Linked DNA regions of Danio rerio. The protein of the gene in region 2 interacts with the protein of the main gene of each other region in a pairwise test. Links are inferred from orthologs where the notes say so. Each region holds a gene or a part of one and is shown on either strand. Other genes may lie near its edges. The genes, in order: vapb and gpr25.

Evidence for each region.
Region 1: the proteins of gpr25 (region 2) and vapb interact in binary tests that used the Homo sapiens proteins (3 or more experiments, as listed by UniProt). The two-hybrid records come from large-scale screens. The link is inferred for Danio rerio from reciprocal best matches to the Homo sapiens genes GPR25 and VAPB.

What each region holds. Positions count from the first base shown.
Region 1 is NC_133181.1:52,215,947-52,220,546, reverse strand, and holds the start of vapb (vesicle-associated membrane protein-associated protein B/C), read right to left. Parts: upstream 3,085-4,600; 5' UTR 2,828-3,084; coding exon 2,770-2,827; intron 1-2,769. UniProt on the Homo sapiens protein: Endoplasmic reticulum (ER)-anchored protein that mediates the formation of contact sites between the ER and endosomes via interaction with FFAT motif-containing proteins such as STARD3 or WDR44.
Region 2 is NC_133186.1:26,792,280-26,796,735, reverse strand, and holds the start of gpr25 (probable G-protein coupled receptor 25), read right to left. Parts: upstream 3,102-4,456; 5' UTR 1,151-3,101; coding exon 17-1,150; 3' UTR 1-16. UniProt on the Homo sapiens protein: Orphan receptor.

The DNA.
Region 1 (4,600 bases), on a different chromosome or scaffold from region 2:
AAAATCATGGTTTGGGGTTACATTCAGTATGGGGGCGTGCGAGAGATCTACAGAGTGGATGGCAACATCAACAGCCTGAGGTATCAAGACATTTGTGCTGCCCGTTACATTACAAACCACAGGAAAGGGCAAATTCTTCAGCAGGACACCACTCCTGCTCATACTTCAGCTTCCACAAGTTCCTGAAAGCAAGGAAGGTTAAGGTGCTCCAGGATTGGCCAGCCCAGTCACCAGACATGAACTTTATTGAGCATGTCTAGGGTAAGATGAAGGAGGAGGCATTGAAGATGAATCCAAAGAATCTTGATGAACTCTGGGAGTCCTGCAAAAACGCTTTCTTGGCCATTCCAGATGACTTTATTATTAAGTTATTTGAGTCATTGCAGAGATGTATGGATGCAGTTGTCCAAGATCATGGGAGTTATGCAAAATATTCCTTCTGTTTCCACTGCACCATGACTTTATATTCTATACTGTACATTATTTATGTTAAGTGACAAGACTTTTGTCTAAGCAAAGTCAGACCTTACTGTCCTAATGAAATAATTAAAAATTAAGGCATGATCATATTTTATTTTGGTAATAAATAAATAAATAATAAAATAAATTAAGAGTAATCTAGAGGCCTTTGCCCTTCATATAAGCCACTTCGGATGCCAAATAATCAACTAGAAGTCAAGTTATTATTTGTTGTTCCTAAAACTTTGATAGGTGACAAGCTACTTTTGTCAGGTAGTGTAAAGCAGTATCATATTTAGTGGTAAGGTGACATTAGTACAATAAATAGACCAGCATGCAGTCAATAAATCATTGTTAAGGGTCTATGCTGTGATTGTGAACTTCACGAGCTAGTGTAAGGTTAATTCTTATGAAAAACAACATGTTTTCAAGCTGGTTTGGCTCACAACGGCTTTGCTTCCAAAAGAATGTGTTCCTTGAAATGTCAAATATGCGAATTCTCATTGGATTAAAAGATTCTTATTTCAAACACCAACATAACTATGACATTATTATCTATAAAGTCGTATGAACTTTGAAGTTAGATAATAATACAGGTGTTTGATGTCTTCCTGACTGGGAACAGCATCAAGGTAGGCGGCCAGATTTCTCCATAAAAATATTAAACATCTTCTGTACAATTAAGCCAGAAATAAACAAAATACATCACACAAACAAGCATTCAAGTTGTTTATTCCTGCTTATGGCAGGAAATACATCTTGTAATTATCTGACCATGAGGAGAAATGTTCAGAGTGGATCAAAGAGAGAAGTAAATGTCACATAATGACAAAGAAAACTATTAAGACATGCATGTGGGATAAACAAAATGTTGCTACACAGTGTCATAAAAAACCCTCAACAGCACATTTTGTAAGTGACAGCAAAACACAAATGCAACATCAAGGGCATGGCAACATTGGTTGAACTGCTTCAGTTCATAACCAAATTAACCAACCCACCAATAGAGCGGTGTGTCAAGGCCTAAACAGACTAGCTGAAGCTAATGTCCTTGTCAGTCTTCTGCTAAACTTAGAACTACACATACTATTGACATTTTAAAAATTATGGCTTTCTTCTATGAGGGGATCATGCCACAAAGGCTTTTGTTTATAAAAGAACAAGACAAATACAAGTATCCCAGAAATGATGAGGAATGTAGCCAATGATATGGCGATTTAAAAGCTTGGAAAGTCATTCTTATTTTGTGAGTCTTATGGATCAGCTGATTGACATGGGCATGAAGTGTACAAGTGAAACTAGCATTAGTCTGTTTAGTGATAGTAATGTAATGATAGTCTAAATGACATTAACCTAGAAATCCTGTAAAAAAAAACAAATATGTAAATGGAAAATGATTTAATTTTAAATGTCGACCAAAGACCAATGTTTTATCCAAAACACCAGAATAGCTTTGTTTATGACATTAGTATCAACATGTCCACGTCATGCTGAACTTTGAAGTGGAATAATAACAAAGGTGTCTTCAGACTAACGCTAATAACTTCCTGACTGGAAGCAGCGTCAAAGGTAGGTTGTCAGTGTTGCCAGATTTCTCTACATGCTAGCTATTCTGACAAAAGAAGTTAAAACATAATAATAACCAATTGCTTCACCAAAAGAAACCGAAACACATCAACCCAGATTTTCATTATTGCAATATTTACAATAACAACTCTATCCTGCAAGCGTCTGCATAAGGGAAAAGATTAGCAATTGCCTTTGACAGCTCGCTCACAGCGGTCATTCAAATGGAGAAATCATCTCACAATGATGACAGAGATATATCATGACATGCACACACACTACACGTAGGATAAACACGCATTTCGCTATTGTATTATGTAAATAAGCAAATAGTGAGCACATCTGATTAGCGACATTTTACATGCGGACATGGCAACACCGGTTGAACCGCTTCACACTAACCGAATTAACCAGCCCACCAGCAGAGCCTGTATGTCAAGGCCTAAATCAAGCTAGCTCAAGCTAACACACTTGTCAGTCTATACAACAAACCACAAAGCGAACACCTTATCGTGTCACATTAGGTGTCATTTTAGCGGAGTTTGAATAATAAACCGATTGAGAAACACACCGCTGCGCCATAATATTATTATGATTACTCCAAGCACCGAGGCCTGCCAGAAACGCCATCTCGCCGCCTCCTTCAGCCCCCAACCACTAAAAAAACACACCCGCTGACCCTCCCTCTTCATCCAGGGCGTTTTATCCGCAAGTCCTCGTCAGTGTGGGGCTTTCTGGACTCACCTCGGAACCTGAGCTCGTGCTGCGGTTCCAGCAGCAGGACCTGCTCTGGCCTGGCCATCTCCCACTGCAAACGCTCGGACTGACCGCTCGGACTGACGGGGGCGACGGGCTTTGACGGCGGAGGCTGTAGTCGATGAGGACTTCTGTTACATTTATCGAAATAAAAAACTCCACGCGGCAGTGGAAATAGCTCAGTGTTACCCGATCCGCCAGCGACTGTTGTGATGCAGCAGGAAGGGACTGTTGGAGAGAGAGAGGGAGGCTGGCCGTGACGTCACTCCCTGCCCCTGCAGTATGCACTCAGTAGTGGCGACTGATGTGAAGGGTGGAGGTGCTGATCTTAATGGGTCATCTGTGCATCTTCAACACTGTAAAATATACTGTAAATGTGTAAATCTTATAAACTTTACAGGTAATTTAACTATGAATCAATTAAAATGATTCATTCAAATTCGTAAAACTCAATATTAAGTTAGCTTAAATACTTAAAGACTGATTGTGTTCAAACAATATCACCTATATACTATATAACTGCAGGTTAACTATGTTTACATATAATACCTTAATTATATAATAATTCAGTGTTAAACTAAATTAGCCGTAGTGCAGCTGGAAGGGCATCCGCTGCATAAAACATATGCTGGAATAGTTGGCGGTTCATTATGCTGTGGCAACCTCTAAAATAGAGACTAAGCCGAAAGAAAATGAATGAATGATTATTTTAAATTATTAGTAACTAATAAAGTTATGGTAACTAATAACCTAACTTTTCTGATTTTGAATGTAAAGCTGCTTTGAAACAAAAAATATTAATGAATTAAAATTATATTAAAATAGGTAACTAAAAAAGACTGATTAATTATGTTAATATAACATTTAAAAAATGCTGTCGTGACTTTTGATCATCTTTTTACACTGCATGTTATGGTAACTTTGCAACATGTGATGACCTCTAAAGAAAGTTGTACTGCTTTGCATGTTTAATAATTGAAAATAGTTCTTTCATTCATTCGTTCATTTTCCTTTGGCTTAGTCCCTTTATTCATCAGGGCTCGCCACAGTGGAATGAACTTCGCCAACTTATCCAGCATATGTTTTACACAGTGGATGCTCTTCCAGCTGCACTATGGCCGATTTAGTTCATTCAATTTACTGAGAGCGCATGTCTTTGGACTGTGAGGGGAAACCAGAGCACCTGGAGAAAACCCATGCCAACATAGGGAGAACATGCAAACTTCACACAGAAATCCCAACTGGCCCAGCCAGGACACGAACAAGCAGCCTTCTCAACAGTGCAAACCACTGAGCCACTGTGTCGCCTAAACATAATTATACAAGAGTTTTATTACTGTATTGTAAATACATCTCACTAAAACACCTGTATTTCTCTATTAGTCTCAATGAACAAAAGCATTATTCACACAAATATATTTGGGATATTTCTGAATATATTTTAGAAACATGCTATTATTGTGTCATAATTATTTTTTTTCACCTTTCAAAATGTTAAAAATGTAGCTGAAACTTTGAAATAAAATATTTTTAATAATGTATGCTAGTATACACTCAATGGCCGCTTTATTAGGTACACCTGTTTAACTGCTCGTTAATGCCAATTTAAATCAGCCAATCACATCGCAGCAACTCAATGCATTTAGGCATGTAGACATGACCTGAGAAACTGCATGAGAATGGGGAAGAAAGGTGATTTTCATGCACAACCATCTCTAGGGTTTACAGAGAATAGTCTAAAAAAGAGATAATATTCAGTGAGCGGCAGTTCTGTGGGCACAAATGCCTTGTTGATGCCAGAGGTCAGAGGAGAATGGCC
Region 2 (4,456 bases):
GATTGAGAAACAGATTTCATGCCTTTTGAGTAAGTGAGAAAAGCCGCCCGCGGGTTGATGTATTTCCAGAGCAGGTCTCAGATGTGCCGTTGGAGTAAGAATTCGAGGTGATGTAACTCTGGTGTGCTTGGTCATTTTGACTCAGACAGCTCAGACACAACATGGAAGCTCTGCGTCTGAAATGTTGATCGAGAAAGAAGTAGATAGCCGGATTGACGCAGCTGTTGAGAAATGCCAGACAGCAGGAGAGCATGAGTCCTCTATGTATGACAACATAGGTGTCCTCATTAAGATCTCCATTGATGATCAGTAACGCAACATGGATGGCCTTGAAGCAGTTGAATGGAAGCCAGGAGATCAGAAAGGCTGAAATGATAGCAAACACAATCTTAACCGAATGCCTTCGTCTGGCATCAGTGCGTGTGTTGGCAGGATTGTGACAGTGACGTCGCAGGTTGACCAAAATCGACCCATAACAGAGGCCTAGAATGAGTACCGGGAGCAAGAAGGTTAGCAATATAGTCAGAAGATTCATTCCTTGAACAAAAGAGGATTTGGAATCTTCAGAGCACACCGAATTGTTGATCAAGTGACGGTACGCCAGAGATGGAGATCCTAGAAAGAAGGAAACCACCCACACGATGCCACAGGTAATTTGTGCACAATTGCTGCTGCGGAGAAACCGAGAGTCCATTAGGCGCACCACTGCCAGGTAGCGGTCCACGCTCATGCAGGTGAGGAAGAAGATGTTGGAAAAGCGGTTAACCGCAATGATAAAGCTGCTAATCTTGCATAACACCTCACCAAAGGGCCACTCGTCATAACGGGTCGAAATTGCCCACATTGGCAGCGTGAGAACAAACACGAGGTCGGCTAGTGCCAGGTTCAGCACGAAGGTGTCTACCAGGCGTCCACTTTTCTTGCGCCGCTTTCCAATGACCACAATCACAAACAGGTTTCCCAAAGAGCCGGTGAGGAACATAATGATGTACAGCACAGGAATGTAGATGTTAGACATGGGCAGCAGTTCAGCGTCGGGAAGGGTGTAGATTGGATTCTCGTCCGTGGAATTAATTGGATAGTCATAGTCATATTCACTTGTCAAGCTCATTGTAATTCCAGAGTGTGCCATCTCTGTGCTGCTTGCCATCTGTGCACAAGTGATGGGCAATGAAGAGAAAACCTAGCAAGTCACATGATGGAAACCACAAACTGCAATAACAGGTTCTCTCATGCTCTGTTTCCTTAAAAGTTGTAAATTTAACACAAAGTGACACTTTTCTTTATATTTACACTTCTAAAATATCAATCAGTGATTTATTACATTTTTGGACTTACTGCTCTAGTGTAATTACTTAAAACATTTGAAAAGGCTGTTTTTGCTCATAATGAGCTTATGTACATTTAAAGATGGACACCAGAAGAATCTTTGAGACTAAATAGTTCACAGAATCTTTTGTTTCATAGTAGGAAGAACAGTGTCATTCAATCTAAAGAAGATTTTTGCATTTTAAACAACTTTTAGTGGGATGAAAATGCTTCATGATTGTTCTGGGATCTCCACTGAAGCACCGATGGGAATAAAGATTTTAAGAATTCCATATTTTGTATATGTAATAAATCAAATGTGAGTGCCATGGGATTTTATTGAATGATTTAAAGCAGTTTTCTCATAAATGCGTAAACACTTCCTCTTTGTCAGTATAAGACGAAAAAAAGCACCTTGCAAGCAGTTAAAAGAAAAAAACGGTTGATGTCATGCCTTTTAGTTTTTAATTCAGCTTTGCAACAAACTAAAGAATAAAGTGCAGAGCTTATTTGAGTCATGTGTGATGTTGTGGTTTCCTGGGTTTTACTCTGCATTTTCTAAACTTTAAGACCTTTCAGGCTCAGACTGGATAAGACAAGTTTAGTATAGACATTTAGCTTTCAAAAGCACCAAAAGTTCACTGATGATCAAATTAGTAATCCTTCGGTGAAGTTCTTTTTTAACAAACAAACTGATGTGTAAAGAAAGGGTCTCACAGTTAAATTTAAAGCAACCAGTTTTCTGCTGGTCAGTGTGGCAAATTCATGTGGTGAAATCTTGTGGGAATTTTTGTACTCTCAAGCTAAATCTTAGATCGACATGCAAATGAGTGGATTTCAAAAGTGTAAGTATAACTGTAACACTTATAATATAACTTCACACTTCGTGACAGGTGAATAGACAACAAGAAAAAAGAAAAGTGAGATAATTTCACACAATTGAAAACCTAAAAGGAAAGCTTTTTTAATCAGTATTAAGAAATGTAAGGTGCATTCCAGTGTTTTATCTTACAAAACATCAGTTTTATTTAAATTTGTGTGTGTGTTTCAGTTCTTGTCACTTGTAGGGTTTATCGCAAGCTGGGTTTAGTGGGACCTTGGCAATAAGCTGGATAGTCGAAGATTTCCCGTGCTGATATGTTTGCAAGTCATTAGAAAGACAGTGCCCTTTATTAAAGATATGCGCAACACTGTACAGAAGCCACAAAACAGATCTTTTAAATTCATTACTATCATTCAATATTTATAACATTAAATATTTATTTAATCATGACAAAAAAAATTAGCACAAAAAGAAAGCATTTTTAGACTATTCTGAATATTCTGCCCTGGCAATGGTGTTCAAAACCAAAGCTGACAGATAGTTAACAGAAATAAAGCACCATCACACTTTCTTCTTGCGAATGTGAAGCACCTTTACTTGATTTGCTTGTAAAACTAAAAAGGAAAAATACAAAAGGTAAAAATTACAAAGTGATTACGAAATATCACAAATAATATACATCTTTCACATTTGTAAACATAAACTGACATATTTAAACTGATATCAAACAGCTAAATAAACAATCCAGGCACTTTAATGACGTGCATCTATATGCAAGCTTGTTAGCATTTAAACAGAACATCAAGCATTAAACATTTCAACACTGACCCTCCTTAATCAATTTAACCCAAAGGAAGTATTGCAGATGTTTTCAAAATAAAATTAGTAACTTACAGTCGTTTCTATCACAAGGGCTAAAAGCAAACAACAAGTCGCGTCTCTGCATGGCGATCACAGTCTCTTCTTCTATGACTTTTTAAATATCCGGTTGTTCTAAAGAATGGCGCAATGACATTTTCACAATTACACCACTTAAATAAATCAATGCACAGCTTACCAAACGAATCAACACCATACAGTACACTCCCCGCCTGGTGTATTGCATATACCACTATGCTTTTAATCACTAGATAAAAGTAAAGCTACGTCACATATAGGCCATAAGTACTCCCTGACAGCCCCTTGCTTAGCAGTCTTTACCATAACCTTTCGGACTTTCCCATCAGATGAGGCTACGGTTTTTGTTACGAGGCCATTTGGCCACTCACTGCGCTTAGCTTCCCCATCCTTTAACAGAACAACGTCTCCTTCCTGAATGTTATCTCTCTCCTCAGTCCATTTTCTTCTGGATTGCAAGGTGGACAAGTACTCCTGCTTCCATCGCTTCCAGAATGAATCTGCTAACATCTGGACTTGACGCCACTGACTTTTGTGCAAGTGTCCTAACTCAAAGTTTCCTGGTGGAGTTGGGGCAACACTTGCTTTCTGAGTTAAGAGCATTGCTGGTGAGAGCACTTGAGGCATACTTGCATCTGTAGAAATTGGGGTTAAAGGTCGGGAATTCATAATGGCCATGACTTCTGCCATTATGGTTGTTAAGACTTCATGTGTGAGTCTTGTAGCAGATTTTACTAAGAGCGCTTCCAGAATACGTCTGGCTATCCCCATCATTCTTTCCCACACACCCCCCATATGAGAGGAGTGTGGAGCATTGAATGTCCAAGTGCAGCTTTGATTCTGCAAGAACCCTTTTAGCTCAGAGTCGCCACTGTCGATTTGGAGTTCTTTCCCTGCTCCAACAAAATTCGTCCCTCTGTCTGATCAAAAGTGCTTTACTGGCCCTCTCACAGCCAAAAAATGTCTCAAAGCACAAATAAAGCTTGACGCTGATAAAGATTCCATAACTTCCAAGTGAACTGCTCTACTACTCAAGCAACTGAATATGACAGCCCATCGCTTGTTCTCAATGTTGTGCCCTCTTGTTTTGCGTGTCACCACAGTGAAAGGTCCAAAAACATCAAGACCTGTGTATGTGAAAGGTGGATCTACAGAAAGCCGGTCTGGGGGCAGAGCCGACATCTTCTGACTTTCCATTTTACCTCTTAGCTTTTTGCATAGGACACATTTGTGGATGATATTTGAAATGCGTCTTTTACCGCTGACAATCCACAATCCAGCACTACGTATAGCGCCCTACGTAAAATGCCGTCCTTGGTGAGCCACTTGATCATGATAATGCTGAATTAAAAGATCAGTCACATGATGGCTAGATGGAAGGATCAAGGGATGTTTCTCTGGATCTGAGATGTCAGCGCACTGAATGCG